Astyanax mexicanus: one gene and its partners. The protein of the gene in region 2 interacts with the protein of the main gene of each other region in a biochemical or structural test. Links are inferred from orthologs where the notes say so. Each region holds a gene or a part of one and is shown on either strand. Other genes may lie near its edges. The genes, in order: myod1, rb1, ccnb1 and cdk4.

What was found.
Region 1: the proteins of rb1 (region 2) and myod1 form a complex in vitro, tested with the Homo sapiens proteins (2 studies listed by BioGRID). The link is inferred for Astyanax mexicanus from reciprocal best matches to the Homo sapiens genes RB1 and MYOD1.
Region 3: of the proteins of rb1 (region 2) and ccnb1, one has a biochemical effect on the other in vitro, tested with the Homo sapiens proteins (2 studies listed by BioGRID). The link is inferred for Astyanax mexicanus from reciprocal best matches to the Homo sapiens genes RB1 and CCNB1.
Region 4: of the proteins of rb1 (region 2) and cdk4, one has a biochemical effect on the other in vitro, tested with the Homo sapiens proteins (40 studies listed by BioGRID, with this or other methods). The link is inferred for Astyanax mexicanus from reciprocal best matches to the Homo sapiens genes RB1 and CDK4.

The regions. Positions count from the first base shown.
Region 1 is NC_064409.1:62,751,460-62,759,717, reverse strand, and holds myod1 (myoblast determination protein 1 homolog), read left to right. Parts: upstream 1-4,892; 5' UTR 4,893-5,155; coding exon 5,156-5,665; intron 5,666-5,873; coding exon 5,874-5,952; intron 5,953-6,072; coding exon 6,073-6,299; 3' UTR 6,300-7,194; downstream 7,195-8,258. Other genes in the region: zgc:172145 (ferritin light chain, oocyte isoform-like), read left to right, coding at 1,444-1,590, 2,721-3,014. UniProt on the Homo sapiens protein: Acts as a transcriptional activator that promotes transcription of muscle-specific target genes and plays a role in muscle differentiation. Together with MYF5 and MYOG, co-occupies muscle-specific gene promoter core region during myogenesis.
Region 2 is NC_064424.1:7,182,775-7,190,953, forward strand, and holds the start of rb1 (retinoblastoma-associated protein), read right to left. Parts: upstream 3,315-8,179; 5' UTR 3,094-3,314; coding exon 2,996-3,093; intron 559-2,995; coding exon 438-558; intron 344-437; coding exon 240-343; intron 1-239. Other genes in the region: dlat (dihydrolipoyllysine-residue acetyltransferase component of pyruvate dehydrogenase complex, mitochondrial), read right to left, coding at 6,264-6,393, 8,002-8,138. UniProt on the Homo sapiens protein: Tumor suppressor that is a key regulator of the G1/S transition of the cell cycle. The hypophosphorylated form binds transcription regulators of the E2F family, preventing transcription of E2F-responsive genes.
Region 3 is NC_064408.1:19,581,245-19,589,328, forward strand, and holds the start of ccnb1 (G2/mitotic-specific cyclin-B1), read left to right. Parts: upstream 1-4,851; 5' UTR 4,852-4,989; coding exon 4,990-5,010; intron 5,011-5,249; coding exon 5,250-5,390; intron 5,391-5,489; coding exon 5,490-5,588; intron 5,589-6,859; coding exon 6,860-7,042; intron 7,043-7,133; coding exon 7,134-7,292; intron 7,293-7,398; coding exon 7,399-7,635; intron 7,636-7,719; coding exon 7,720-7,860; intron 7,861-7,944; coding exon 7,945-8,055; intron 8,056-8,084. Other genes in the region: slc30a5 (zinc transporter 5), read left to right, coding at 1,017-1,260, 2,568-2,794, 3,210-3,338, 3,439-3,609. UniProt on the Homo sapiens protein: Essential for the control of the cell cycle at the G2/M (mitosis) transition.
Region 4 is NC_064431.1:16,097,681-16,106,100, reverse strand, and holds the start of cdk4 (cyclin-dependent kinase 4), read left to right. Parts: upstream 1-4,956; 5' UTR 4,957-5,223; coding exon 5,224-5,226; intron 5,227-7,316; coding exon 7,317-7,537; intron 7,538-8,420.

The DNA of each region.
Region 1 (8,258 bases), on a different chromosome or scaffold from region 2:
TAGGTACATTTCCTTACATGTACACAAGCAAATGTAAAAGTGCAAAATTGCCACATCCAGTCCAACTGCACATGTTTACCCTCTCAGAGTTTAATAACTCCTGGCACTGACTAAGAAAGGCTGATTTGAAGTAATAAAAAGGAGGTCAATACGCTAGCTTAACAATGGCAGGATAAAGATTAGACATGTGACCAAAAAAAACAGACAAGGTACACACTGCTGAACAATATTTAACAGAAAAATAATCATTAGCATGCAGAAGATTAAATCAGGATATGAAATAAATACTAGATAAGAAGCAGTATAAAATAGAGTATGTGGATTTGCAACTATGAGAAAAAACAGAAGATTACATACTATTAGGCCGTTTTACATTATGGTACAGAGCATTAATCAACATTTACATCATGTAGAGGTGCATTTAGTTCTAGGTTTGTTCATTTCCCTTTGAAGTGTGAGAAGGCCCAGCAACATTGTACATGATAACCCCTTTCCACAGCAATCATTTAATTTTAGACAGGGTTTAACATTTAAATTTCATTTCATCGAAAAATACGTAAAAAAAAAAAAAAAAAAAAAAAAAATTAAGCTAGAATAAGGGATTTGTTTTGGAAAACAATTTCTTTTAATATTATATATCCCAGTAGCATAATAATAAATCAGATGATCTCACTATAAAAAAGAAAATAAATATTTTAAAATACATAAATGAAAGTATAAATACTGGGCCAGTCATTTGGAATGACTGAAGCTTTGAAACTAAGTGAATTCATTAAATGGTCTCCTACCAGCCTGTTTAACTGAGCTAGATATACCAGAACAGCGGACAAAGAAAAGACAAGGACGACTTCCTCGCTTCTGCAAAGTCACCTACTTAAATATTACACAGTCTGTATTTTAATGAGTTTTGCATCAGTTATAATTTATTGAGTTTTCATCCTAATATTGTTTCTACTGCCAGTGTTATGAGCACTTCCTTGTTTGGCCTACAGGGGCCCTAAGCTCTAAACTATACCATACATTGAATAACCTTGATTATTCTTGATAATCAAAATTAAGTATCTACAATACCAAATTACAAAGTAATCGTAGTGCTAGTTTAAAAAAATCACTCCTGTGTTCATTATGTGCCACATTAAATATTAGTTGTATAAAATGTAAGCGAATATTAAGCTCAACTAAGGAAGCTGGAGCAGATGTTTTCGTTGCAGTGGCACAGACATTCAACATTTCATAATGAATTAATGAAGGCATGTTAAGTCAAATGGCTTTCAGAAATGCTTCAAAATGGTCTACAAAAATGAATACAAATAATAAAAATTAGGTTTTTATTTCTTTCTTTCCTATAAAAATGCCACTTTAGAGGTAGTGACAGTAAGATGTTATGGTACTGTCCTCTGTTCAGAATTGAACGGAATAAATTGTGGGTATTGTATATTTCAGGCCAAGATTTTTGAGCAAGATGACCTGGCTTTGCCACGTGTGGCTGCATATTTCTATCTGGAGTCCACAAGAGAGCAGGAGCAGGCGGAAGCCATGCTACACTACCTGTCCGAGCGTGGAGGACAATACTGCAGCAAAGATATCCAGGTAAACCTTGCTGTCTATGCCCAGCATATCATGTGCTGTAGTGTTACTGTGAAATATGGTGAATAAAGATGTTTCTTGTCTTCTTTATAAAATAATAGTAGAATGCCCCTTTTCAGGTTTTGATTCTTCACTTTTTATCACTTTTTCGGTCTCACTGTTAGGAAACAAAAGTTTTCACAGATCTGCAGGATTATTTTACTGCCCACAGTTACTGCCAACATTGTATCCTCATCATATTACCTCTGTACCTTTAAAAATATTTTTTGGAGGGGCTCTTGACTGGATAGGCCAGCAGTTTAGGAGGAAAAGGGGTCAGAGAGAGAGAGGAGGATAAACCCCTGTGGGCTTTGCAGGGATCTCTTCTCTAATGCCTGTCAGGGTATACGTTTTCCCTGAGTTCCGGAAAATTGGGGAGATTAATGTGAAAGCGGAAGGACAGTGCATTAATTGTAGTTCCAGATGTACACTATGGCACTGGCTCTGCTGCCACTTCAGCCTGGGTCCTCTCTTTTTTTCCAACCTCCTCCTCTTCCCTAGTTTTATGACTCATGTAAAATTGATCCGGAGTGAGGCTGGTGAGGGTCCATCAGCAGCAATTTGGAACACCTTGTTATCCGCTGATGCATGGAGAGACGAAGGCGTGAGTGAGTTTAAATGGAGCTGGTTGAGTTGCTTGATTGTGAAATTGTATGCATATAAAAAAATATATATTATTATTTTAGCCATACAGATATTTTTAATAAGTACATGCAATAGATTTAAATTGATAGTAAAAATGGTACAAATAGTATAAAAACACTATCATTTATAAAGTCTGAGATAAAGAAAAGTTTTATATTTGAATGCAATCAAGACAGTGGGATCTAAAATCAGAGATTGTGGATAGGGTTTAAACACAACATGAACCACTGACTGTCTCCAATCTTTACATAGAAACCAGTGATTAAAAATCAATACTGTTTTTTTAAGCGATACAGTATTGCTTGTCTATACATTCGCTGTTAGTTTTAAAATTAGTAGAACTACACATCTGAGCAGTTTGTGTGTGTGTGTGTGTGTGTGTGTGTGTGTGTGTGTGTGTGTGTGTGTGTGTGTGTGTGTGTGTGTGTGTGTGTGTGTGTGCTATGCAGAGACCAGGGACAGAGCAGGTGTGTGCGCTGCTCCCTGCCCTGGAACTCCTGCTGGGCCAGTGGAAGGAGGAGATGGCCATCATGGTGGAGCTGTCTCAGCTAGCACGTGAACATGGAGACCCCCACTCTGCCAGTGTCCTCAAGAGCCACTTCCTCCAGCCTCTCGCACCAAAGATCAAGCTGCTAGGTGACCTCTTGACCAATGCTCGAAGACTGGGCTGCACCAGTGATGGTGCTGGAGGATATGGAGAGTACCTCATTGACCAGCTCTATGAGGAGCTGGCCAGTGCCTAAATGTCCTGTAAAGCCCCTTGTTGATGCATTAATGGCCTGACTAGCAGTTATTTCCTATCAATACTTTCTGCACTGTTAGATCCCGTGCTCAGCCTGCATGGAGTGTGTTCTGTTTGTGGCATGAAAGAGATGATTTGTGGGTTTCTTGAATGGCGTGTTCTTGAAGCTTGGTATTACCTTTCCCCACAGCTGAAAAGTACTGAGCAAGTGGAAAATAATGTGAATTTCCCATATTGTCAAAAGAAGTGCTAAAAACACGGGAGAGATTATTAAAAATGAATGACTAAGAGAAATTTTGACAAGTTTGATATGTTTTTTAGTGACTATGAATGTGTTTTTGTAAAAACAAAAAGCCTGTAGAGTGGAACAAAACTTGCTGTTTTACATTAAGAAGTGCCCTATATGAAAAAAAATTATGCAGTATTTTATAGACAGAATTTGATTCATTGTTATATTTTTTGACTGACACTGATTAAATGTTTTGGTCTGGATTGTGTATTGGAGGTTTAGATTTTTAATCTCACACTCCACCTATTTTTTTAGAAGTATTTTTAATCATTTCTGTTGCTTTTAAAGCGTGTTTTGTGATGGGTTCTGCGTGTTTGTATTGTGTTTGTATGTGTGGAAGACAAGAGTTTCCTTCTTTGCACTGTTACTTTTCTTTGTGTTCATGTGTGTGTTTTATGTAGGATTTAAGCCATAAACCAATAAAATCTATTGAAACTGTTAAATTAAAGTCTCAAGTATGATTTAATAGTGGGGCAACAGTTTCTTAAACACCAGAGAGATAACTCTGTTAAGATTATTCCTTGTTAAAAAGGAGCTGTGAAAGCTGTGATTTTGTCACTTGTAAATGGGATTATAACCCAGGCCTCTCTCCCGGTGGCTCACTGGCTCATTACTGCCATCTGTTGGTGGACCCATGGCACTGTTGGCTTCTATTTCTGAGACAAACTAAATACAGTAGGCTAGTACATGTTATAAGTAGCCTATGAACCGAATGAACTCCTAAAATGAATTTCCCCTGTCAGAATTTTTTGATTTATTCATGTATTCTTTTCTTAGAGGTCTGACTAAAATAACTTTGTCTGTACTAATTAGACTTCTCAGCAAATATTAATCAGAGAAAAAAAGAAAGAAAGCTAAGATAGAATAGATATTCCAGTAGTGTAGATGATCTGTACTTATAGCAGACACTACAGTCAAAATATTTAACCTTGCTTTACGTGCCCACTTTTTGTAGCTGTGTAATGTATCGAATGTAATGTAATACTAAAGGATTTGCTGCTTCAGAGTCTCAGGGGTTGTTTGGAAGTGTGTGTTCCGGAATTAGAAAATAAAAACAGAATTAAATGGGTGGTGGAGTTTCAGTATTAGAATGATATATTAAAGCCAACTCAGTTTAAAACATTTTAGTATATATTAACTTATGTACTACATATAAATATAGACCATTTCACTGCATATATTGTGCGCTTCCATGCGCTTACATTATGTGTTTCTTAGAAGTCAGACTTACTAAGAAACACACACAGCATATTTTGGTTGCTTACAGGATTTGCTATGTAAAAAATATTATGAAAAAGTTTAATTTCTTTTCTTATTCATATTAATTCAAGTAAACCATAGACTAAATTTCAATCTCCAGGTATGTTTTAAGATTCTCAGCATTATTTTTCAGTCTTCCAATTCTTAAATTCTGAGTTTTTCAAATCTGACAAATTTTTCACTCTAACCTTTATTGTTGTCTTTAGTGTTCGTCCGGCACAAACGACCCCTTCCAGCCCCCCATCGCCTCGGCCAGGGCGTTTATTGGCCTGCGGTTCAGGCCAAGGCCACTCCCCACCCAGCTGCCGGCCCATATAAACTGGCCTTTTCGCCTCCTCAGCAACAAGTAGCTGCAGGCTGCACTGGGACAGGAGTTGGTGGAGCCCTACCTGCAACACTCACTCATTCCCTCTCTCTTGTCTTTCACTCACTGCAGACATTAAGAGTGTGTGTTTAAACAGGACAGAAACCTGACAGAAAGTGTCTGAGCGCATTGGAGGCTCTCTGGAGTGTTGGCTCAACTCCTACCTTATTTTACACACTTAAAAAAAGTTTCATCACTTTGGTTTTTTGGGGGGTCAGAAAAAAGAGAGATGGAGCTGTCGGATATCCCGTTCCCCATCCCGTCCGCGGACGACTTCTACGACGACCCGTGCTTCAACACCAACGACATGCATTTCTTCGAGGACCTTGACCCACGGCTCGTGCACGTGAGTCTGCTCAAACCGGACGAGCACGGCCACGCGGAGGACGAGCACGTGCGCGCGCCCAGTGGCCACCACCAGGCGGGCAGGTGTCTCCTGTGGGCGTGCAAGGCTTGCAAGAGGAAGACGACGAACGCGGACCGGCGGAAGGCCGCCACCATGCGGGAGAGGAGGCGCCTGAGCAAAGTGAACGACGCCTTCGAGACGCTGAAGCGATGCACGTCGGCCAACCCCAACCAGAGGCTGCCAAAGGTGGAGATCCTGAGAAACGCCATCAGCTACATCGAGTCCCTGCAAGCTCTGCTGCGCAGCCAGGAGGACTCCTACTACCCGGTCCTGGATCAGTACAGCGGGGACTCGGACGCGTCCAGCCCCAGGTCCAACTGCTCCGACGGCATGGTGAGGAATCTGAGATCTCTAAAGACTTTTACTGTCAGGAGCTGTCACTTTGATCAACTAAACCAGACTCTAGTGTCAACTCTTTTTTAGTTACTCTTTTGTTACTTTATATTACAATAATAATATTATTTAGACTATATTGCCTATAACTCTAAAATATTTTGTTTTGTTGATTCCATTTAATTGATGTATTTATATTTTCTTTCAGATGGATTTCAACGGCCTATCATGTCCATCTAGAAGAAGAAACAGCTATGACAGTTCCTACTTCAACGAGAGTCAAAACGGTAAGATACCACCCCAAATAAATAATCAAGCATGAAACGTCACGAGACATTTTATAATAATATATTCAAGTGAATCAACAACTACAAAAAATAACATCTGATTCTTTCTCATTTCTCCAGTAGATGTGCGGAGCAGTAAATCCACAGTAGTGTCCAGTCTGGACTGTCTCTCCAGCATCGTGGAGCGAATTTCCACGGAAGCGCCCGCATGTCAGCCGCTCGCGACGCACGAGCCGTCGGACTGCAGCAGCACCAGCAGCCCGCGTTCTCCGCACGATGCGCCCGCGCTCAGCGAGACGGTACCGAGCACTCCCTCCCCCGGGAACGCCGTGTACCAAGTCCTGTAGAACACACACACAGACATGCACACACTCATACATACATACACACACGCGCGCGCGGTGTACAGGAGCCTTCAGGACTGTGCTGTTCCTGTGCGGGAGAACAGAAGTGGGAGAACATAAATTTTTACCTTTATCCTTTCTTTCGTTCTCTTTTCTCACACTATCTTCATTTTAATTCATTTAGTCTTTCCTGGATCTTTATTTTTATTTTATTTTTTCTTTCCTTTATTTTCCTGGTTTCTTTTTCCTTTATTTCTTCCTTCCAAACTTTTCTTTCTTCGTTCTTTCCTGTATTTCCACACTTTTCTTTTTATTTATTGTCCTTCTGTTTTTAGTCCGATCTTTTTTCAGATGATATTCATTTAGGTTTTTCTTTCATTCTCTTCACTCTTTCTTTGTACTTTTATACATTCTTTCTTCATTATTGTATTTGTATTTATTTCTTGTTGTTCGGACTTTTTCTTTCTTTCTTTCTTTCTTTCTTTCTTTTTCTTGTCCTTTACTATTTTGTATCTTTTTATTCTATCTTTTTTCTGTAGAAAATATAAAATTCCATGGTATCGATGGCTCTGCCGAAGTCAGTTTCTTAAAACCTTTTATTTATATGATTGTCAGCTGCAATATTGTGACCATATCTTCCCTTGTTGAACCTCTTCTTTCTGTCTCCTTCATCTTTTACGATTTCCTGATTGTTCATGTGAGAAAACACTTCATCTATGAGAAGTAGAGGACCAGTTTTGTATATGTGTATATAAGAGCTGTTTTGTTAAAAGGAGAAGTGATCAAACTTTGTATTTAATGCTGCCTGTGTGAGGAGTTTGTTGTGTCCGACGTTTATATTTATACTTCTTCAGTGAGTGAATGTGGATTAATAAAGAAATACTTATTTATACACACACCTGCTCTCGTCTGATCTTTTTTTTAAAGGCTCTCATCTGTTTTTAACAATTTAATCATAACATATATATTTCAAAGAGCATTTACTTTAAATATTAATTTAAATTGTATTTTATTTTTATAAGCACAACTAAATGTCGCTTTAACTTAGTCAGTTTATTTGTTCGTCTTCATATATCTTTTTTTCTTATATTTAAATTAACTCCAAAACGTTCGAATAGTTTGACTAACATAAAATATTTGCCATTTAAAAAAAATGTTTTGTATTGCCGATTGTTATACCCAGCGTGTCATAAATAATTATATAAACAACGCATAACTATGCGTATATGCATAACCTAATGACAAATTAGTTCATTTCTAAACGAACTACTAAACGCAGCAGTATGATCCCACAGATTTACTAAATTATTTTTCAAATAAGTCTTCTTTTTATTTAACAAATTAAGTTAATGAACATGCAGTCAGGTTAAATTAGTCACAGTTGAATTTCTGCTTGTTACTGTATAAATATAAATATTATTAAATATAAATTAGTATAATGCAGTGCTATTGTGTAAAATTAAGTATATTTCGTTGTTAAAAAATAACAAAAATAATGTTTCGATTGAGTGTTTAGTCCTGTTACATATGTCTTTTTTAATCACTTAACTTTAAAATTACATTTCCATTAAGAGATAATACTAATAATAATAATAATAATTATTATTATTATTATTATTATTATTATTATTATTATTATTATTATTATTATTATTATTATTATTATTATTATTATTATTATTATTATCTATGTAAAATCTAAGCTGCCAGTCCTGCGGAAATAGTTGCAGCACCACCTTGTGTGAATGTAGCACAAAACACACACACAGTCTTTAGGTTTTTGAGCGGCTGAATTTTTTGCCGCACTGTGAAATTTTAACATTCATTTAAAAACGTGAGAACGCCAATCTCCAGTTATAATATATAAAGTGAAATTATAAAGTGAATTATATTTAATTATTTTTTGCTATCTGTATTTGTATCTGAAAACCATATTTGAGTACCATGCTTTTTTATTTAAAA
Region 2 (8,179 bases):
ACGATATGGATTTTTAATATCATGATATTTCTGTGTCACGATATATTGTATACGATATAATATTGCCCACCCCTACGCTTAAAACCAATCCTGTATATAATAAGAGTTACAGTTATAAAGACATGTGCAAACTACACAGTTTTCTTACATAGCAATCACAAAGTCAAAGCATTTCAATCTTTTCTAATTTATAGCAGAAATAAAATTGATACTGACAAGTTTTAATGTCAATACTTTACCTCAGACCAACAGCTTTCAGTAGTTGTGTAAACGTGAAGCTGATCTCTTCCAGGTCTACAGCAGAAATAAAGACACACACTCCCCACAGTGGCCTGTTTGAATTCTGCAACAAACAGACAGTAAGTTACACACAGAAATTGCACTAGAGACAGGAATTGTAGAAACCGAATAATAATAATAATAAAAAAAAAACCTACATTAATTTTCTCTGCCGATATGGCAGCAGACGTCCAGATGGCCCACGCTCTGTTACACACCGTGTTGGTCACAAAAAGCTCCTTGCAAAGGGTCACGAAGTCAGAATCCTTCTCTGTGTGCCTGGCAGAGAGAAAAGGTAAATAAAATTAGTGTGTGAAGATTTTCTCAAATATTTTTTTTTTAAATAGGGGTGTTCCATATTGCATCGCTCATGAGAATATTTTTTAATTTATGAAGCAATAAAAAAATAATAATAGTAATACAGTGATAAATTAATAGCGACATTCTCTTTGACAGCAGTATATTTTGTGTACTTGTATTCTATTTACTGAACCTTTGGCCCAGTCTTCCAGGATATCTCTGTACTTAGCTGCATTCATCTTTCCTTTCCTGTCCCTGAAGCTAAAAAAAAAAAAAAAAAAAAAAATACCACAAAAGCATGATGCTGCCACCACCATGTTTCACTGTTGGGATGGTATTGGGCAGGTAATGAGCAGTGCATGTTCAATCCTTATCTCAACAGACCAGAGAATCTTATTTCTTATAGCCTGGGAGTCCTTTATGTGTTTTTGGTAAACTCTATGTGGGCTTTTATATGTCTTGCACTGGCTGTCTGTCTATCTTAATGAATGTCTCTTGTCTGTCTAGCTATCTGAATAGCAGTATTAAGACTATTTGAGTTAAATCAGTAAAACAGTCTGTCTGTGTACCTGTCTATATCTATATATTAGAAAGGCAGCAGTGAGACTGTTTCAAGTTACATCAGCAAAACAGTGTCTGTCTATCGAAATGCCTATTGAGACTGTTCGTGTTACATCAGTAACAGTGTGTCTGTCTGTCTGTCTGTCTGTCTGTCTGGCATCAGACTGTTTGAGTTAAGTTAAATTAGTAAAACAGTCTGTATCTCTATATATTAAACAGGCAGCATTTAGATTATTTTAGTTAAATCAGCAAAACACTCCGTCTGTCTGTCTTTCTATCTATCTATATGTTATCGCTGTGACTGTTCGAGTTAATCAGTAAAACAGTCTCCCACTATCTATATATTAGATTATAATGGTAGAATTAAGATTGTATGAGTTAAATCAGTAAAAAAAAGTATATGTACCTGTCTGTCTATCTTTATGTATATATTAGAATAGCAGCATTAAAATAGTTTGAGTTAAATCAGTGCAACAGTCTGTCTGTCTGTCTGATTATCTATCTGAATGGCAGCACTATTAGACTATTAGAGTTAAATCACTGCAACAGTGTATTTGTCCCACAATCTATTTGTCTGTGTGTCTTTCTGATTATATATCTATCTGAATGGCATCGCTATAATTGCTCAAGTTAAATCAGTAAAACAGTCCGTCTAATCTATCTGAATGTCTTTTTATCAGTCTATATCGATCTTTTTCTATGTGAATGGAATCACAGACACTGAGTTAAATGAGTAACACAGCCTGTCTATCTATTTGTCTATCTGTCTATATATACATATATATAATGGCAACATTGAGACTGTTTGAGTTAAATCAGTGTAACAGTGTCTGTCTGATTATCTATCTGAATGGCAGCATTGGGACTATTAGAATTAAATAAGTGATACAGTCAACCTGTCTAAAAAATCTGTCTTTCTGACTATCTATCTATATGACAGCATTAAGACTGATCCTACTAAATCAGTAAAACAGTCTGTCTGACTGAATAACAGCATTAAGGATATTTGAGTTAAATCAGTAAAACTGTCTGACTGAATAATAATATTAAGGATATTGGACTTAAATCAGTAATATTGTCTGACCGAATAACAACATTAAGGATATTGGAGTTAAATCAGTAAAACTGTCTGACTGAGTAACAACATTAAGGATATTTGAATTAAATCAGTAAAACTGTCTGACTGAGTAACAACATTAAAAATATTTGAGTTAAATCATTAAAACAGTGACTGAATAACAACATTAAGGATATTTGAGTTAAATCAGTAAAACTGTTTGACTGAATAACATCATTAAGGATATTTGAGTTAAATCAGTAAAACTGTCTGACTGAATAACAGCATTAAGGATATTTGAGTTAAATCAGTAAAACTGTTTGAATAACAGCGTTAATGATATTTGAGTTAAAGCAGTAAAACTGTTTGACTGAATAACAGCATTAAGGATATTTGAGTTAAATCAGTCTGATTAAATATCTATCTGAATGACAGCATTGAGGATATTCGAGTTAAATCAATGAAATGTGGAGTTAGAGTAAAGTTGATGTATTTAGTGGAGTATATCAGGATGTTATTGAAGGGAAGAAGGGGTTGTGTTGGGAAAATACGTGAGAATAACTTGTTGTGACGAGACTGTTGACAAAACAAAAGTTAGCTAGCAGGCTAACTAGCTCAGTTAGCTAACTCTGTAGCTAGTTAACTTGTGTAACTTACTGTAGGTTAGCTAGCAGACCGAGCTAACTCATAAACTATCTAACTACCCAAACTAATGATTAAACACAAGATATAAACAGAAGAGCGGACAGAGCGGCCGCGGAGAAACACGGAGCCGGATCAGCAGCGCGGGGTTCTTACTGTTGCGGGCTGATGGCGGAGCCGGACTGCCGGAGCTCCGGGGAAGAGGCGCCCCTCCGGCTGCTCCCGGTCCCGGAGCTGCGCTTTCTGGGCGGCATGGCTGATTAAATCCTTCGCGGGTCTTCAGACAGAGCGGGTTAGAGTGAATGGAGGTGTGGATCAGCTGTATGAGAGCTGGATCTTACTGATAACTGAATATACAGGTAATAAAAAACTGCAGGCAGGGAGTAAACCGGGTGAACAGGGGCCTCCCCGAAACCGCCTCCACTATCCAGCGCTGATCCCACAGCCTCAAACCGCGGGAAAACTCCGCAGCTCAACTTCCTGCTACACTCACGTCATTTCCGGAAACAAGAAAGCGTCAGAGACGGATTTTGGTACCTGAAACATTATTTTAAGTAAAATATCATACATACTTACTGCAAATTATAAATATTATATTTATAAATAATATTTATTGAAGAATATTAAAGTAAAATGTCATAAAAAGCCTTACAATTGTTCATATATGCAATATCACCACTTGTTTTCTATTTTTTTAATTAATTTTTTTAGCATGACACTTCTGTTTTTCCCCGCGGCACTGCTGTAACTGCTGTACTGTAAATTTCCCCCAACTGTGGGATTAATAAAGACTTATCCTAATTGTTAAATAAAATAATACTAATACTAATGTCTATTAAAATGGTTAATATTATTGGTCACTATGATTGGGAGATCGCTGGTTCAAATCCGTTCATGCAGTTTGCCATCAGCTGCTGGAGTCCTGAGAGAGCACAATTTTGCTTGCTCTCTCTGGGTGGGTGGATAGCACTCTTTTCTCTCATCACTCTAAAGGGTGATGTTGATCAGCACAAGGCATAATTGAGCTGTCGAGTGCACTGTGATGCTACTCCATAAAAAAGAGGCGGAGTCTGACTTCACATGTATCGGAGAAGGCATGTGTTAGTCTTCACCCTCCAGGTGTTGGGTCATCACTAGTGTTAGGGGGAGTCCTAATGAGTGGGTTGGGTAATTGGCTGTGTATATTGGGGAGAAATGGGCTTAAAAAATATTATTATTGGTATTTTTTTCTAGAGATGCATCAATGTGGGAGTTCTAGGCCGATATAACACATGTATATGTCTGCTGATGCCGATATACACAATAAACATAACTTACAGCGAGCCTAGACACCCCAGTATACGTATTTCACATGTTTTTAGTGGTTTAAACTGGTCCTTACATAGACTGTTTGCAACTTTAAACCCTGTTTTTCTTCATAACCATTACATCAAAACCATCCTAAACATCCAACATCTCAACCCGAATTTTCCCACACACACAGCGAGATTGGGCAGATTATTCCCTCTCTTTCTCTGTATTTATTTCTACATACAATACAAAATAGCTATAGTTTGTCCTTTTTTTCTCTCCACCCTTTTTATTTTTCCTGTTATTTTTATATTATACACTATGACCACAGAAACTATAATTATCTATAAACACTAACAAAGCTTAATTAGTCCTCCATGGGCGGTGATTAAAATTAACTTGTGCCCGGCGTCTCCAAGTCCTTTTCTGGCGTACAATAAATATGTCGGCAAATATTGGGTTTGAAATATCTAGACATTCCCTAAGGGGTGGAATTAGATAGTTAAGACCCCAATCCATCCTCTCCTGTTTCACTTCCTCTGGTCCAGAGGTGTCCTCATTCAACCTACATAAAATCATATCTTTGCATTATTGTAATTGTACAATCGATCTGTGCACAGGCATGCGTTCAGGCTTTTATTTTAAAATGCACTAGCTTTCTTATATGAGTAATAACATGAGACTATTTATATCTTTACATTTGCTTTACACATTTCTTGTTTAATTAAGGATTACATTAAAATATTGATTAGGGAGCCTAAATGTTTGTGCATAAAACAACAGCAAAAACACACAAAGTTGACCTGTGAAAGGTGCAAACATTAGGTAAAGGGGTTTATTACTGGTTGTATTTTCTCATTCAAATGAACATATTGAACAAACTCTGGAGTTACCAGTAATGGACACTCTGTAGTGTGATCTTCGGATAAATCGTAGACTTGTCCACAGGGACAGCATTATAAACACAAGAGGCATCAGTATGTCCTAATATTTAGAGGTATTTAAAAGTAAAACCCATATGATAACCCCAAAAATGTTAGATCTCCCAGCAAAACTCAGATAAATATATAAACTTTGGAGGTTTTAAAATGTATGAGAACATTTATTTTCTGTCTATTTTCTGTCCCTCATCATTGTGTTATGTTTTTGTTCACCTTATTAACTAAAATAAAACCATACATCTTGACTTCCCTTTGCCTTTAGCTGTAACCATAGATATTGATTTGCCAACACTTCCTGGCGCCCTGAACCCAGTGTTCTCTCTCTCTCTCCTCTGAGAAGAGATACTTATTAATATGCAGACCATCATTTCAGTTCAATCTGAGGATCTGATTTTGTTTATTTAAGAAGCAGTTTGCCCAGCTCTGCGTGTTTGTGCGTATTCAGTACAGAAATATAGGTCTGAAAATATTGCCATATTAAAAAAAAAAAAAAACATTTGTAAGAAATAAGAACACAGAACAAAGGCACTAACGTGCTTTGTCTGGAGTGACAGATGTAATAAATAAACGCAGAGTTCAGCGTTCAGATAGGGTTGCCATATAGACCAGAGATGAAACCACTACATGTATGTACAACTCAGGAAGCATGAAACAACATTTCAGAATTGTAAAAAGGTCTTAGTAACCATAGGAAAACCTTTAACCAGATAGAGACATACAGGTGATAGGTTCCTTTGGCACCGGAGCGTTTCAATATCAGTTCATTTTGTCACTTTGTCTCCAAATGTACCAGTTAAGTGAGGCTTAGAGAGACCACAGCATGGGGTAAAAGCCTGGTGAAGAAAACAGCTGAATTTAGACTGTTTTCAACCCCTAGAAGGAAGAGGAATCACAACTTGTGGTGCTTTTAAAAGCTCCCTGGCAGAAAACAAAAAACATTTCCTCATTCAACATTTCCATCTACTGTCGACTCTACAAATTGACCTAGACAGTAAAGCACTACTCTGGACCTGTCGTGTTAAAGCTGTGGAATTACAGTACCCACGGGAAGTGAAAGATAAGTGTGAAACCAAGAGGGGGAGAAAAGAGCCAGTTATAATTCTGTCTGCATAACATCTGAAAGAGACCTCCTCCTTTAAGCTATCTGAAAGTCCTGGTATATGGTCAGCTGAGGGGCAGGGCCAGCCCCCCGCTCAAAGCAGCATATTCATGGGTTTCTCCAGGAACTTGCGGAACTCGGCCAGCCACTGAGCCCCTACTGCTCCGTCCACCACCCGGTGATCACAGCTAAGAGTAACGGACATCACATTGGATACATCAAACCTACAAAGAACAAAAAAAGAACACAGGCAAAAATGAGACCAATGCATGTAAAACCATGTTTGAAGAAAAAAAAAACATTTTATTTGCATTCTAAAAACCCTATCACACTTCTACTGAGTGGTAAAACTCTTGCATCTGGACTCCAAATAAAAAAACAGCAGGAGCAGTGACTTTTTAAGCTTTCTCGGTTACATGACATCGCGTTCAGTAGCTCCTCCATTTCCACATGCTGTTGTGTTTACGTGGATCTCTGTGGAAACGCATGCCCAAAGTGTAATTACGGTGCATGGCAGTGGACAAATAGCTATTTTATTAAATGCGAGGAGACGAAAATCAGAGATGTGAATCCGGATGGGACTAAAATGACCAGACCACGGAGTTCAGCGAAAAACAGAGGACGTCTGAGAAAAACACATACATGGTTGTTCTGGATGGGAATAAAATCACAAAGGACCCCCTGTAAAAGAGAAAATTACCCCAGAGTGAGATCTGTCACTACTGTCCGTGACAAGTCAGCAGATGAGCGAGATGTAATTACTTTCTATTAATACGTTTTGTGTTTTATCACAGTTTTGCAGTTCAGCACAAGCGAACACTAATGTGTGGTAAACACTCAGCGTATACATGCAGTGGCCAATAACAGTTTATTTGCATAAAAGTGTCAGAACCCTTAAACAGCTCATTCTAAAAAGGACTGAACCTGGTAAGAATAGAGATGGTGAAATCTTCATCTTTATGTGAGAGCAATTTTGTGTAAAAACCTTACAAGCATGTTTTGAACAAACCATAGACCAATTTTAACTATATAACTATGTATAAAAAGAGGTATAATATGTCTTCTGAAATTTAGATTTATAATTTTATTTATGAATAATCACAGAACATTTTTGCGATTCATATAGCTAATGTTTTAAGCAATTGACACCACTAATTAAATATTCTGCATTTATTATTTTAAGCAGAAGGACACGTGTGATATATGACTATTGTTATTTATCCAGAATAGAGTTATGATTAATTTCATTAATTTATAGGCGTGCGATTAATCTGGACACTTTTTTACACAAGTTTAGTGCCAGTTACCTCCAGTCACATTTTCACAGAGCCTGGGGACATATTAATATCAGCAGGCACATACTTTTGTTTGATGATAAAGGTTTTTAAATAAACTGTTAATCCATACATTAAAATATTCTAATTTAAAATAAATCTATAATAAAGTTAAAAAGTCTAGTCTATTATCCAGTTACACCACAATACACTATAATTTATTCTCCCTCCAAAAAACACAGAGCAGTACCAGCATTTAAATGATTTTACTAAGCAATTGACACTATTAAAACAAATATAATTATTATTTTATTTACATTTAAATATCCATTATTTAACGCTTATGTCTTAAGATGCCTGAAGAATGATGCTGTGATTAATCTGATTTATTTATTTAATCAATTGACATCATTAAAATACATACCAAAACCACTAAAAAATACAATGGGCAATACTGAGGTCAGAAAAAGTTACTGATTTTGTGTCCAGTAAAATAATAGACAATTTAATGAACCAGTTCACAGAACACCATGTGACCGACAGCAGTGAAGCTCTCACCCTCTCTCATTGTCTGCAGGCAGCAGCCTCTTCTCAGAGCCTCCCACTGCCAAGATGCATGCTTGAGGAGGATTGATGATGGCTGAGAAGTTCTTGATGCCGTACATGCCCAGATTGGAGACTGTGAAAGTACCACCCTGTAAAAAACAAATGACAAGACATAAGAGAATCACTGTAA
Region 3 (8,084 bases), on a different chromosome or scaffold from region 2:
TACAGTGCAGAAATATGGTTTAAACATTTTCTGTATTGGTAGAGGCTGCCTTTCCAACTGCGTCTCATCCCAAAATTGTACACGGAGAGGTCAAAAAAGTGGTTAATATATTTTCATCATGCCCCAGTGCCTGATTCCTTGCTTTACTAAATAAGCAAGCTTAATTGGAAGGCTGTATTTTAAGTCGTTCCACAATTATACAATTCCTTGGTCAGTTATAAACAAATCAAAGCCACATGCACAAATCTACCAATTATGGATGAGAGACAAATAATGGACACGTGTATCTGTCAGTTACACACGACGAGCTGCAGACAGTGAGTTTCTACACTAAAATTACCATACCAGTGAGTTCATGGACCAAAGAGGGTTAAAGAATTGTCACTTGTTATTAATCTTCTTTACCAATCCAACGGTTATTCGCACTCACCCATTATTTGTTACAAACTTTTAAAAAATTATGGAATTGATTAAAGAACCATTTATAGTGCTCTTATTTGAAAGAGTGTTGTGTATTTGAATTGTCTGATGCAAAGTTACAGGTGCATTTAAAAAGAAAGTGAATATCCTACATTATATTGGTCTTATATAATATTCAAATTTTATGAAACACTGATTTTTGGGATTTCATTGGCTGTAAGCCATAATCATCAACAATAAAAAAAATAAATAAATGCATGAAATAGATCACTCTGTGTGAAATACATCTATATAATATATGAGTTTCACATTTAAACTGATTTACTGAAATAAAGTAATTTTTCAATGATTTTAGTTATTTTTTGAGATGCATCTTTACTTGCCATTAGAGGTCAATTCTTAGACAGGGATTAAGCCAAGTCTTCAACTACACAGCATTTTGAATGAAGAATTAATTGAAAGTAGGCTTAAACACTGTCTGAGAAGCTGCCACTAAATGTGATAATATAATTTCACTCTAATAGAATATGAACTTTGCAAGGATTATAAATCTGAAAAATTATATTCATTTATTTTTATATTCTGTTCCCGAACAGCCTGTGTCTGTGGGTGGACTGCTTGTGAATTTAGTGGGCATCTGTGCCTTCAGCCATGCCCACTCCCATGGGGCTTCTAAGAGCAGCTGCTCAGGCCATGAGCATGGTCACTCGCATCACGGACATGGGCACGGAGAACACGGCCATGGAAGCCACGGACACAGCCATGGGGGCCACGGCCATTCTCACAGCCATGGTCATTCCCATGGCTCTGGAGGAAGTGGCATGAATGCTAATATGAGAGGTAGCTGCACTTTTATGTTTAAGCAATACTGTCTATTCTATTCTTGTGTTTTCTCTCTCTTTTTTTTTTTTTTTTAACTCATTACCGTGTTTTTAGTGCAGAAGAAAATACACTGTGTTTACAAAAAAAGTGACACCAATTAATATTTTCTGAAATGAATAAGGAGGTTTAAACATACCATATTTTACAGACTATAAGGCACACTATATTATAAGGCACACTATCAATGAACGTCTGTTTTCTGGTCTATTTTCAGCAGGTCTTGCTGCTAAGGGGGACTAACTAAACAAAACTGTTAATCTCTAAAATAATTTTATTAATAATTTTAATTTTTAAATTTTAAAATATTTTTTTTTTAAGTCAAACGAGCGCTGGATGTTAATCTGCACAGATTTCTCTCTTGAAAACTGTTTATTTGGGTAAATTTGAGTAAAGTGCTTCTGTTCCCTTACAGTAAGCTCAGATTTCCAGTATTTTAGCTCGGTTAGCACTAGTAAATGCCACCCTATAACACTTCACTGCGGAACACTGAGCGTCCCAGTAAGCCAGGGTGCTACCAGCTATAGGGATCAGGGCAAATCTGGTAAACACACAGGCTACAATCCGATATACTCACTTCTGAACTGCATAAGAGCTAGCGCTTAGCGCAGTTAGCAGCTAATGCTAATACTGCTCCAGCCTCGGTGCTGGGGACACTTCATTTAATCTCCTTAATAACGCTGTACTTCAGCGGCGTGGTTTTATTGCTCCTTACAACCTGATTGGTAGAATTCATACATAAGGCGCACCGGATTATAAGGTGCACTAATGCTTTTTGGGAAAATTAAAGGAATTTAAGTGTGCCTAATATTTAAGCTTTAAACACCAATTGAAAAGATTATAACAGAAGAATTAACCATAAAATGAACATTACCTCCTTATTTCTACACTCTTTGTTAATTTCATCTGCTTCACTGTCTGCAAGGAGTACTTTGTAGTTCTTTAAATACAGACTGTAGTACTCATACTTTGTAGTTTCTCATACATTATTATCATTTTTTCACCCTGATATGCAAAAATTCTAAAATGTTAATGTTATGCAGTACATATATTTTGGATATACACTATGTCTAAATGTTTGTGAACATTTACTTGCTGTAAGTTCCACCAATTGCTGGCAGAAAGAAACCAATGCACACATTCAACTTGTCTGGTAGTGCCAATAAAATAGGACCTAGAAATGAAACCTGTGTCTACTTTACTTCTATTCCTATTCTATTATATTCTTGACTGTTATGAGCACTGACTCTGAGTGTGAATGGTTTCAGGTGTCTTTCTGCACGTCCTGGCCGATACATTGGGCAGTGTTGGGGTCATCATATCTACAGTGCTCATCAGTCAGTTTGGCTGGCTGATAGCAGACCCCATATGTTCCCTGTTCATCGCCACACTCATCTTTCTGAGCGTCATTCCCCTGTTAAAGGATGCCTGTGAAGTCCTCCTGCTCAGGATTCCACCTGAGAATGAGAAGGACCTCAACTTTGCTCTGGAAAAGGTATAAATTTAGGTGTTTTTGCAGAAAATTTGAGAAAGTGTGTAGCTTTTTAGAATATGGTTATATACAGTGACAGGCGCCATACAACAGTATCAGTACTGTGAAAAGATCTTAAGACCTTAAAGCTGATTAATGCTTCTGGGTTGAATGTATCTGGAATTTAGACCAATTTATGCTTCTGCTACTGTAGCATACACAAAGATTCCTATCCTACACTGAAACCTGACACCACTCTAACCAGAAATGTAACTTCTTTTCATGGTAACACAAACCACAGCTTTTTTTTTTGTATGTTTTTAAGCAATTAAAAAATCTGCCCAGATAAAGAGCTTTTACATTCCAGGGTCTGAGGTGCGTGAAACGTTTGCACAGTACTGCAGAATGTAGTAAAAACAGCCGTTTCTTTCCAACTTAGATCCAGAAAATAGAAGGTGTTTTGTCGTACCGTGACCCACACTTCTGGAGGCATTCCGCCAGTGTTCTGGGTGGAACTATTCATCTGCAGATCATGTCCGATGTGGTGGAACAGAGAATAATTCAGCAGGTTTGAAAGGAGTTCTCATTCATTCTTATTTTTCAAATGAACGTCAGCTATCTGATGTATTTGTTACATGAATTAACTGTTGTGGTTTTGTTTCTATCAGGTAACCTCGGTACTAAAGGATGCGGGTGTGAATAATCTGACGGTGCAGGTGGAGAAGGAGGCCTATTTTCAGCACATGTCTGGCCTCAGCACAGGATTCCACGAAGTTCTGGCAATGACACAACAGATGGAGTCCATGAAATACTACAAAGATGGCACATGTATCATGTAAACAGTTGTATATGTAAATGATTTTTTTTCTTTAATTAAAACAATTTTACTTGTGGTTTTATTTCTGTGTGACTATTATAAAAGGTAAATTGATTAAAGCAAATGCAAATGCAAAAAAAAAAAAGCAAAAGGTGAAGACACCAGCTCATCCGTGTTTGGTGTTCGTCCCATTTTTGTAGCGGTAATTGTGTTTAATCTTCTGAAATGGCATAACTCCTCGAGTTAGAACAGTGTTAAATGGATTTTAAAGCTTCCAGACTAAAAACAAAAAAGCAAGATCAGGTACTGATGGTGGGTGGCTGGATAGTGTCTGACCATTTATGTGGTATTTGTTTAGATATTGAACAAAATATTTCTAGAGTGTTTGTTGTTAATATGTGATAGAATGATCGATTTCGTATGAATGATCATTTATCTAATATACTGTAGTATTAGTCAATATAAATATATATTAGGACAAATCATATTTAATTTATATAAATTTCCAAGATTGTTTTTTTCTTGTTTTTTTTTTTTTTTTACTTTATAAAAATATATATCATTTTAAAAATAATCAAATTATTAATATATATATATATATATATATATATATATATATATATATATATATATATATATATATACATATACATGCAGACTACTTAACAATTATGAGTTTTTTACCAAATTAAAAACCACTGGAATATAAACTCGAGGAAGACGGATGATAACAAGGTATTAAACCAAGCTAGAATTTAGATTTTTTGCACTAGGAGTGGCACCAGGAGTTATCCAAAAGCAGTGTGTAATACAGGTGGAGGAGGACATGCCAAGATGCATGAAAGCTGTGATTAAAAACCAGGGTTATTCCACCAAATATTGAACTCTTTATGAATATCAACTTGTTTTCTTTGCATTATTTGACGTCTAAACAAGCTCTGCATCGTTTTGGTTATTTCAGCCATTTCTCATCATCAAATGCTCTAAATTAAAATATTTTTATTTGGTATTTTGGAGAAACGTTGACCGTAGTTTATAGAATAAAACAACACTGTTCGTTTAACTCAAACATAAACCTATAAATAGCAATCCATTCATTTGTACAGTACATGTCCTCCGGAGCAGTAGGTGGCGGTACAGGGCTGTATAAAAAAACCCGAAGGAGAGATTTAACCACTGAGTCCCCTCCCTTTGATGGGTCACGTGCTCATCAGTCGCCTTAGAAACGCATTGTTATCAGCTGTGTCTCGGCCAATCAGATTGCGCGAGTTTTAGAACGCAGCGAATCAGGTTCGAAAGAGCGACAATTTAAACCTGAGGGAGATGCTGGTTTGGTACGTGCTGTTTCAGCGCTGACCTGTTCACTCTACAGACCCACAAACTGAGATACAGCAGCTCAGACATGGCTCTCCGCGTCACAAGAGTAAGTTTACACCTTTTAAAAGCCTTTTCTTCTTTTAAATACGGCTGTTTTTACGTGCTTAAACTGTATGTTGACTTATATTTAACTAATGTTAAGTCTAGTTTAGTTAAATGCTCATGTTTATAGTCTTACTTGGCGATTTTAACTACTTGAGCAGTTTAATCTGCTTAGTGAATGTTATATTAAGTAAGCTTAACTTAATATAACATGTTTTTTCTATATTTAACCTTTTAAAACAGAGTACTCGCCTGGCCAGCAGCGAGAACCAGAATGCTGTTGCTGGAAAAGCAGTAGTTGCAAGCAAGCCTTCACTAAGGCCCAGAAATGCTCTTGGAGAGATTGGAAATGCAGTGCTGCCCCGACAGACCCTGAAGAAAAAGGTATCTAGCTTTTATATAAGAAAATCCTCCCTTATTTTAACTACAGAATTTTGTTGTGAAATGTGCTCTGTCTAACTTGAATGAACTTGTTTTCTGAAGCAGGATGTGAAGCCTGCTGCTCCTGCAGTGGTTGAGAAGGTGGTTGAGCCTGTTAAGCAGCCAAAGAAAGAAGTTCCTGCAGTTCAAAATGAGGTTCAGGTGGGGTTTTTGATTTGCATGAATGTCTGAGTAACATGTCTTGACTGGGTTATCTGTTTGCTAATAATATTAAAACTAGCTACTACGTGGTATAGCTTATCTGCAGTTCGGGTGGAGAAGCCATTTTCTTGCCCTACTTTATTACATGGGGTGGGGAGGAGGCAGGGGACCATTAGGGCTGTACAATAATTCAATAGAATTCAATGGTTTTTGTTTCTTTAATAGATGCAGTATTTTGCTTTATACTATCTTCAGTGTTACTGGCAGACTTATTTTGCCTTACATGAATTGCATTTTTTATTTTGTTTAAATTGTTTGTAGTGGGGCTGTGCTATGTATCATTGAATAATATTACTACATTTTTACTGTTATTGCAAATATTGTGATTATTTTAGCAACATATCTGCTGTTTTTAGCAAAAGTAAACACTTCTACTTAAATCAACTAGCGACAGACCTGAGTGCATTATTAGTCTGAAATGTTAGATTATTGAGTTGAGCTTGTAAAAATTAAACCAAATTACCCAATCAAATGTCATTTTGTAGCAGTAGTGTCTTAAAATGTTAACCTCCATGTTTTCTTGCCAAGAACATCACTATTTGCAAGAAAACCCTGACTTTTTGTTACTATTTTAAAGCCCTATGGCCCACGCCTTGTAGGTACTGAGGATGACTGGGTTGGGTTTTATATGCCCTTTATTCTAACTACAACTGCTACCACTAGCAAACTTGAAATATGTAGTGTTGCTAGAAGCTCTTAATTTAAATATTAATTGTCAAATTTGGCTGCAGCTTTGTGTTTCAGTAAAGCAAAATCGAACCAATCCTGGTTGTTTATAGCTTAGCTTCTCAGTTTCTCAGCAAAAAGGTTAGATTAGCTTGGTTGGAGTGGAAACTTGCAGCTTAGCACTTAGTCTCTTTGGGTAAGATCAAGGAACTTATAAAGGCTTATGGAGTGTTTAACATGTATCAAATGTGTTAAACATGTTTAGATAAAATGGATCATGCCTTTGGAGATGCCCTATTTTTTAGTGTTCAATTCACCAGCAGACCTGATGCAGTGCTTTTTAGCTCATTTAGCAAACAATTATTTAGTTCCAATGGGTGTTAAAGCAGAAACTATAAATTATGCAGGTTTTTTTTTTTTTTTTTTTTTTTTTTTTTTTTTTTTAAATCATCTGCAGGATTTGAAACATGCTTATGATCAAGTTACCATTGCTCTCAATGTGGCTGTGTTTTTTTTTTTAGTTGGTTTGCCTCTTTTCATTTCAGCTTTTGTCTGAGCCTTCCTCCCCTGTGCCTATGGAAACCTCTGGCTGTGCACCTGAGGATCTGTGCCAGGCTTTCTCTGATGTGCTGCTCAATATCAAAGATGTGGATGCTGATGACTACGACAATCCCATGCTCTGCAGTGAATATGTGAAGGACATCTACAAATACCTCCGGCAACTTGAGGTTGGTGTATAACCTCCCTTGTGCCCTCCTGTCCAATTATCTTGACTAGCTACAGCTTTTGGTAACATCCTGCCTCTGCTTGTGTCCCTAGGCTGATCAGGCTGTCAGGCCAAGGTATCTGGAAGGAAGGGAAGTCACTGGGAACATGCGTGCCATCCTTATTGACTGGCTTGTCCAGGTCCAAATCAAGTTTAGGCTGCTGCAGGAGACCATGTACATGACTGTGGCAATCATTGACCGCTTTCTTCAGGTGTGTAACATTTAGCTTCCTTGTGGTCTGTAAAGTCAAGTTTAAACCTAGTTGGATTGTTCGTTGACCTAAATGGATTTTGTAATCTAATATTTGGCTCTTTCAGGATCATCCAGTTCCCAAGAAGAGACTCCAGCTGGTTGGTGTCACTGCCATGTTCATTGCTTCCAAGTATGAGGAAATGTACCCACCAGAGATTGCAGACTTTGCCTTTGTGACCGACCGTGCCTACACTACTGCTGAAATCCGGGACATGGAGATGACCATCCTGAGGGTTCTGAAGTTTAGCTTTGGTAGACCTCTGCCCCTTCAGTTCCTGAGGAGGGCTTCAAAAATTGGAGAGGTACTTAATGGTTACTAATGCCTTCAGAAGCCTCTTAATTTAGTCTTGTTTTGGGTTTAAGACTAAATCAAATCTTTCTTGCAGGTTACTGCAGAGCACCACACCTTGGCTAAATACTTTGTAGAACTCACCATGGTGGACTACGACATGGTGCACTTTGCTCCCTCGCAAGTTGCCAGTGCTGCTTTTGCCCTCATGCTTAAGGTCTTTAACTGTGGTGAATGGGTAAGTCTGATTTACTTATGGTCCTCACTCCTGAATTAAGTTTCACAAGATCATTCTTTAAAATCTTTCTTTGGTTTTTGACAGACCCCAACTCTGCAGTTTTACATGGGCTATGCTGAGGACAGCCTGATTCCAGTGATGCAGCATATTGCCAAAAATGTGGTAAAGGTCAATGAAGGGCTCTCAAAACATCTGGTAAGTTTCATGTATGTAATTTGTACAAA
Region 4 (8,420 bases), on a different chromosome or scaffold from region 2:
TGCTCTAAGCCCCTCCCCTCCCCACACATCCTCACCCCCACCAGCCTGGTACTAGTGAGTCACACAGCTTAGCTTAGCAGCTAGGCTAACTCTGACTATATTACATGATAAAAGTGTTGTTGGATGTTTCTCCAAACCAAACAACATGAAGAACAGACTCGTGTTAATTTTCTTTTTCATGTAAGAACACACCGGCAAAGACACAAAAATACAAGAACACAAGAACAAACAACAGCTGCAACTGTTATATTTATATTATATAAAATTATTGTACAGTACTATAAAGACAAGGGGTGGGCAATTAATTTAACTAAATGGCAGCTTGACACTGGGACTATTTTTAGGGCTGGGTCAACTGATTGATCTCAATTTGCCTCAATGTTAATAATCCAGTAATTATATGGATTTCATTAAATGTTATTGGTAAGATATTACTCTTAGTAAAAACATAAATTACATAATTATTTAATCACCATTTACATAAACAACTATGAATAAAATGTCCATGTTTTTCATAAAAAAACAACAACATTAAACTCAAAGCATTATTCCTCTATTTGATTTGTAGCCTAATTTCTTTTTCAGTACTTTTTCTTGTTATGTAAAAGAAATGTATTCAACAAGTGCAGTGAAGTAGGTTCTGTTTCTAAGGTGGATATGTGAATGGCCAGATGTGGCCCCAGGGCCATAAAATCCTTTTTCACTTTAGCCACAATAGCTAAACCCAGATAGCAAAATTACATTAAATAATTCCCTTATTTCTCCATCTCAAATGTTGATCTCCAACATCAGGGTTGATTTATTTATGCACATCAATTTTCATTTGATTTAACATTGATTCAACATTGAGCGTAGTGATGAAAAAGGTGTTTAAATAAAAATCATATTTTTTTATAATAATAATAATAATTTATAAATAAGGTGTCTTTTTGAATTGAAGAATTTTGAAGATGCTTTGCACTAAGACTTTGAAATATTTGTCTACTTATAATACTTATAATATAATACTTAACTACTAATTGAAAACAAAATCATGGACTCTGTAAAAATAAAACAAAAGACTCTGTATCTAATGTTTAACAAATTGTTTTGACAAATAAGGTCCTAAAGTTAATAAATCCTAAAATAAATATATTATGGCCTCGATAAAAAATAACAAAACCTTTAGTCGATTTATTATTATTATTATTATTATTATTATTATTATTATTATTATTATTATTATTATTATTATTATTATTATTTCTGATGTGTTTATTTATTTATTTACTGTAAGGAATATAGGCTGTTCTTAAAGCACTGCTGTATATCAGCCTAGCAACAGCACGCCTCATCCAATCACAGCGCGCCTTCCGCAGTGGGGCGCGTTTTGATTGGCTCCCTGCTGCCACGAAGCGACAGCCCTCTCAACGCACGGATGATGAATCCTCGCGCCGCTTAGATTCAACCAGACCACTGAATTAAAACAAATATTAAATTTAGAGATAGTGGAATATATAATTTAATTAAACTCAGCACACAGAGTAATGTATGTGATCAGAAAGTCGAAAAGCACATATAATAAGGGTTTAAACTGATGGATAGATTTACTCAACATTAAAATAAATTATAATAAAAATATATAGTAATATATGTGTGTTTGTGTGTGTGTGTGTGTGTGTGTTACATTGTACACATTGTACATCAACATACAATCCAATATTAACAGTAAAACACATAGTGATAATAAAAGGTCTATAAGAGTGGTATGGGAGATTTTCAAGGCAACAAACACTGCTGACCTAAAAGTATTTTATTTGCCAAAAACATCTTTATGATCTCCAGGACTTTGGAAGAATATTCTGTTGACTGATGAGAGAAAAGTGGAACTTTTTGGAAGGCGTGAGTCTTGTTACATCTGACAAAAAATGCACTATTCCGGAAAAGAACAAGAACACCATATTTAAAGTCATACACTGTGGTTGTTGCTGCCAAGGGTGGCACAACCAAGTTATCAGGTTTAGGAAGCAAATATATAAATATATATGTACGCATATATACAGCTATGAAGAAAATCAAGAGTCCTCTTTAGTTTATGAATCAGTTTATCTGATTTTGCTATTTATATGCATATATTTGATTAACATGAACATTGTTGTTTTATTCTATAAACTACAGACAACATTTCTCCCAAATTCCAAATGAAAAATATTGTCATTTAGAGCAATTAATTGCAGAAAATTAGAGATGGCTGAAAAAAAAACAAAAAAGATGCAGAGCTTTTAGACCTCAAATAATGCAAAGAAAACAAGTTCATATTCATAAAGTTTTAAGAGTTCAGAAATCAATATTTGACAGAATAACCCTGTTTTTTAATCACAATTTTAATGCGTGTGTGTGTGTGTGTGTGTGTAAACAGTCACTTTTCGTCTGGAATAAATAAATCTCTATGTATCTCTATCAATCTTTTTTTAAATAATGTTTATATAAATCGCTCTCTCTCTCTCTGAGCTGAGACTAATACAGTCAGTGTCTCTTCATCAGATGAGCTGATTTTTTTTATGTCTCGATCTGACAATAAAAATGTCACCTCTGATTCTGCTGTTGTCCAGATACACGTGCATTCTAATCACAGAAAGTATAATTACCACTGAAGCAGCTGACTGGTGCTTGGCCACGGTTTGTGTGACTTTATGGAAATGGACTGCGCCCTGCATCTATTATTAAGGCCAATGCAACAGCCAACCAGCACCATAACAATGGGTCACAGCAACCAGATGAAAATTTATTAGTAACAACCAAGCAACACCTTAAAAACAATTAAAAATGTCCTGACAACCGCTTATCAACACACTGACAGCTGCATAAAACATCATAGCAGATCATAACTGCTATAACAATACTTCAAGCTGCATAGTAACTCTGAGGCAACCATCATGAAACCATCCTAGAAACTACTTAACAAATGCTAAACAACAGCTGGAGTAGCAACCAAAAAATACACCTTTGTAACCTCAAAGCAATATCCTAGGACCCATGTATACAGGAACTAAAATATTATATTCTACTAACAATTTAGCAAGAATGAAACAACTGCCTAAAAACACCATAGCAACAATCAAAAAATGCCATAGCAATCACATAGCAACTACCTGTTTTAAATTAACCAGCAATGTTGATGTCAATCGAAATTTCTGCTTATAAATTAAGATTATGTTTTGACTCACAGTGATGCTACTTAATTGTTTAACTCAACTTCAACCTGTATTACATACTGCATACAAAAGAAAACTTCTTTAACTTTCTTTTTGTATGTTTCTTGTTTTTTTTTGTTTTTTTTTTTTTGTCTTAAGAATGATTGTAAACAATCCATAGTCCTAACAAGCTAATTAAGGTCTTGGTAAAAGTTATCTGAAAGCTTTTTTTTTGCATTTATTTTTTATTGAAATTTTTACTACATTATTTTTCATTTTAAACTTTATTCCTTTTGAAAATCATCTTATATTCACTTGCAACATTCCCCTGTAACAGAACAAGGATGAGCAGGGGTGCCCAGACCTTTGAACGCCCCTCTTTTTGTTTGCTGTTAAAATTTTTAATTGTTTAATATATTTTGTTTAATTATTCATGATTATTTTTAATATCATTACAAATGAAAGATTATTACCAAAGAAGAAATGCTAAGAGAGCACACTCCTCTATTTCTTTGCTTTTAACCCTAAAGGAACTGATGCATCACTACAGGACTGTGTGTAAATGTGTGATCATGTGACATTATTTACAGAGGTGTGCTGGGTTACTGCTGGAGATAGTTCATTTTAAAGGTGTATGTTTTGCTATTGTATTCATCCATTTTAACAATTAATGTTTGAAACCCTATAAGACTAATTCTGAGAATTTCTAGAACAAAATGTTAAAATCCAAAAAGTTATGTCATTGCTTCATTTACATTAAATAATATATTTACAGGCAAGTGCCCATAATAAAAAAAACATTAATGAGTTGCTCACTTCTTCTTCTTCTTTTCGTTTCTTGAAGCTTGTTGGTTATATGATTGTTTCCCATTTCTTTACACAGTCTTTTGCGTTTTTATTGAATATGGCAAGATCTTTTAAGCTGCACTGATTGTGTAGTAGGGGCAAACAAGGCAGTGCTGCATTGTGTGGTCCTCTCCACATTCACAGGTGGTTTGGCCAACTTTGTAGTTGCTCACTGAATATATTTGATTACATTTTGAATTGGGCATCAGTATTTAGAAATTAGTCTGGGCCCTTATTGTTTTTTTTTGTAATATCTAAATTTAATATCTAATTAGATTTAGACCTAACCTAACATTCCAATAACTCAGTAATGTTAGGTTGCCTATCATTTGGATATGTATACACACTTACAACTACAGCATTACACTTTGCCATAAGTTTATATAAAACACAAGCCATTTCTGATGTTAAAAGTACATAATTGTGCAAAGATTAGCATAATAATTATAGTAGTAGTAGTAGTTGTTGTTGTAGTAGTATATTTTACAGTGATGCACTATATAATCACAAACCAAAATTATTTATCAAGAAAATTTTTTTGGCTAAAAAAATTTCTGAATTATGTTCAACAGCACTATACATAACTGCTATAATTTCTTTTTTATGTACTCACCTGTTACTAATTTTGCATTGTAATAATGATAATTAAAGAAAACAGCACTTTTGGTGTTTGGCCAACTAAGTGAAAAGATTTATGATGAACACTGATATTTTCTTTGCAACAAAAAACAAACAAACAAACAAACAAACGAACAAAAAAGTTTTATTATTTAAACCAAAACCCCTTAACTTCTATCACCTGCCTGAAATCGAAGTGGGCGTGGCTAGCGCCTCGGCCCAGCAGTGGGTGTATGTGGGTGGGCTGACCCCGCCCATTCAACCAGCGCTCCGCCCCTTTTACTTGCTTTATTCCACATTTAGGCTCCGCCCCCATGACAGGACCGGAAGCATCTCATTTTCACAATGAGTTCAAAGTGAGAAGGGGAGAAAAGTTCGAGAAAGCTGAAAAAGCGTAAAAATATTTGCGTTTTAATCGTTAACGCTAAAAATACCGAAGCGCGCACGCTTAACCGGGTTGGATGGAGCGCGCGGGGCGCGAGGACGCGCAGATGTGATGATTTGGGGTGGTTATTGGGTAATATTGGGGTGATTTGTGGTCAGTCTGGCTGGAGACAGCGTGCTAGTTTGCTTCGCAAACAATACGATGGTAAGAGCCTGAACTGTTTATTAATTCGATGTGTGATTCGGTTTGTTTGTAATTTTAGGAGATATTGTTGTTTTTTAACCAAATGTGTGTCTTGCAATTACGCAGCGTCCTTGGGAGTCTTTTAAAGTGTGTGAGCATGTGCTTGGTGATCAGATTAATTGATTAGTTTGATTATTGATTGGTGATCAGCTTTGGTAAGATCCCATTCTTACTAATTAACAAAGAGCCCTCCGAAGGCCACCACGTGTTGAGGAAGGAGCTGGTTAAGGCCAGTCAGTGCACCAATGGAAACACTAGGCCTTTCCATATCTTTTAAACAGAAATAATCATGAAAATATATGTGATATAAACTCATCTGTGTGTTACCTGAATATTTATTAAATGATAAAACGTGTTTCTTATTAATATACAACTTTAAAGAGCTAAAATAGCGCACAAAGCTACTCTTAACTTCGGACTGTCTGTTCCACCTTAAATGTGCAGCAGTTACATTCAAGCGCCATCGGGGCGTCTGATGTGCAGTGACGGCAACTGCTGTACGTTTAAGGTGGAACGGAGAATATAAGGCAAGAGCCAGTTATGTTTAATCAAGTTAGCAAAGTGATTTTAAGTCTTCTAAAAATCCTGTTCTTTGTACGTCATTATATAATCACCGCATAACAGCAAAATACAACTATGCCAGTGTTTTCTAAACAGTACAGAGCTTATATTTAATCAATAGACGAAAACAATGGAGAAAAACTGGTTAAATAAGTTAAAAACTTTAAAAAGAAAAACTGTAGTATAAGTTGGTAAAACATTTAAGAATTAACAGCTTAAATTTATAAGTTTTTTTTTAAATGTGTAAAAAAATAAATAAAATAAGCTAAAACTAGCTATAGATTAAAATAAGTAAAGCAAATAAGCAAAATAAGTAAAACAGTACTAAGTAGTAAAAGTAATGTAAAATAAAATGGTTACAGGCAGAGTAAAGGTAGTGTGTGCAAATGATCTACAATTACAAAATATACCCCACCACAGTCAATGTGTTTGTTTGTTGGGAAACAACATTAAATGTGATAAACAAACTGTGTTAATCTGTAAAAAGTGATTATGGGGAAGGTGTGTTTTTGTTTGTGTGTTTGTGGTGAACCTCAGGAATGTTAGGTTGCCTGTCACTTTGGAAATGTACACACACTTAGCATTTATTAAGCATTTCAGTATTACACTTGGCCTAAAGGTGTTTACATGCAACACAAGCCATTTCTGCTGTTATAAGTACATAATTATGCATAGTTTTGCATAATAATTATGGAATAAGTAGTATTATATTTTGCAGTGATGCACTATATACTCTCAAACCACTAAATTATTTGGCAACCAAATTTTTGTGGCCAGAAAGTGTCAAAGATGTTCAACAGCACAATGCATATCTGCTATAATTTCTTTTTGTACTCACTTGTGTCTAATTTTGCATAGTAATAAAAGTGATTATTGTTTTTAGGCATTCGCCGAAATTGTTTGGATGTAATTAACAAAAACAGCACTTTGGTTGTTTGGCCAAATAAGTGAAAAGACCAAAGAATTGATGTTAAATAGTTGTATTTTCTTTGCAAAAAAACAGGTTATTAGGACAAATAATTTAGAAGTGAAACAAAATATCGAAAATACCAATAACTACATATATTGTCATTTTAGTTTGCAATACATTATCATTAACCAGTGTCAAACATTGTTTTTATTAAAACGTCTCACAATTTGACTTAATGAAGTTACTTCTTCAGTACTCCACCTGATGGTCCTAATCAATATATTATATTATATTGTGAGATCCCATATGATTTGCTATTCAGCTTTCAGTCAAAGGTTTTAATTTTGGTTTAGGCCAAAAAATGTCATTTTGCATCCTTCATATCTTTTTATTTGTCAGTCTTACTGGTGTTTATAATGACCAAGAGAAATGTTCCAAATATCTGTTTCCATTATCTTTCCTTTTCTGTAGGCTTGAAGTCTATATTCAGAAGATATTATATTAAGTATTCAATGGATGAATTCAGGTTTACATAAATTGATTGATTTCTTATTAGCTCTTTAATCTCCTCATTCTGCAGGCTATGACCCAGGAGGGCGGGGTCCAGTATGAACCGGTGGCGGAGATCGGCGGTGGTGCATATGGGACTGTGTATAAGGCTCGGGATACACAGAGTGGTCAGTTTGTGGCCCTGAAGAGTGTCCGTGTTCAGACTGACCAGGAGGGCCTCCCGCTGTCAACAGTTCGAGAAGTGGCCCTGCTGAAGAGACTGGAGCAGTTCGACCATCCAAATATTGTCAAGTATGTACTGTCTGATCCCATTTCGGATCAGAATGCTGCACTATGTAACTCTGCCTAACCTGAGTCATGTTGATGTAAAATCCTTTATTATTCCTCTACCACATCAGTCCACTGCTTCTACATCTCACAGCTTGTCCAGAAATGCACGTGTACAGCTGTCCACTATAGTGCAAACAGAGCCAGATTTATATTTACTGCAGTGATTATAATACTCACTTATATTTGCTTTATTTACTTAACGGTCACTGCTTACATCCTGTGCGTTCTTTGTTGAGCAACACATACTGTAAACTAGAGGAAACTTTAGAGTTAACAGATTTTGAGAACAACAGACATGGCGACGGTGAATGAGACAATTATAAAAAAAAAGGCAGCAGTCTAGGCAGCCATAAACAAGCGCACAAGATAAATGTGTATCAGTACGAACAGAGGTCTTAGTTTAACTATTGTGTGGAATTACTCTCCACACCTGTAGGGGGAACCCAGGAGCAAAAAGTACCAGCTCTCAGCTTCAGCTCGTGTAGGAAACCTTGATATTAAATTTCATCTTACACTAAAATCCGCCTTCTTATTTTTTATGAAATACAATAGGTCTCTCTGAATTGTATATGGATGCTGCGCATGAAACTCTTCCTTAATCTCCACTGTCTGCAGTAGCTAGTAAAAGAAAATGTTCAGAAAAACGAGTCGATCAGAAAAAAAGAACCTGTGTCTACGTCAACCTGTAAATTAATATTCATGGCCACCACCCACAGGCAGAGTTGAAGCCACGCAGATGCGCCTCGTCAGACAGGAGCTAACAGCGCTAGAAACAGCATAGGAGTTTGTTCCTGTATTTTTTGTGCAAATAACACATCAGTGTTAAATGCTTTGCCCAGTAATT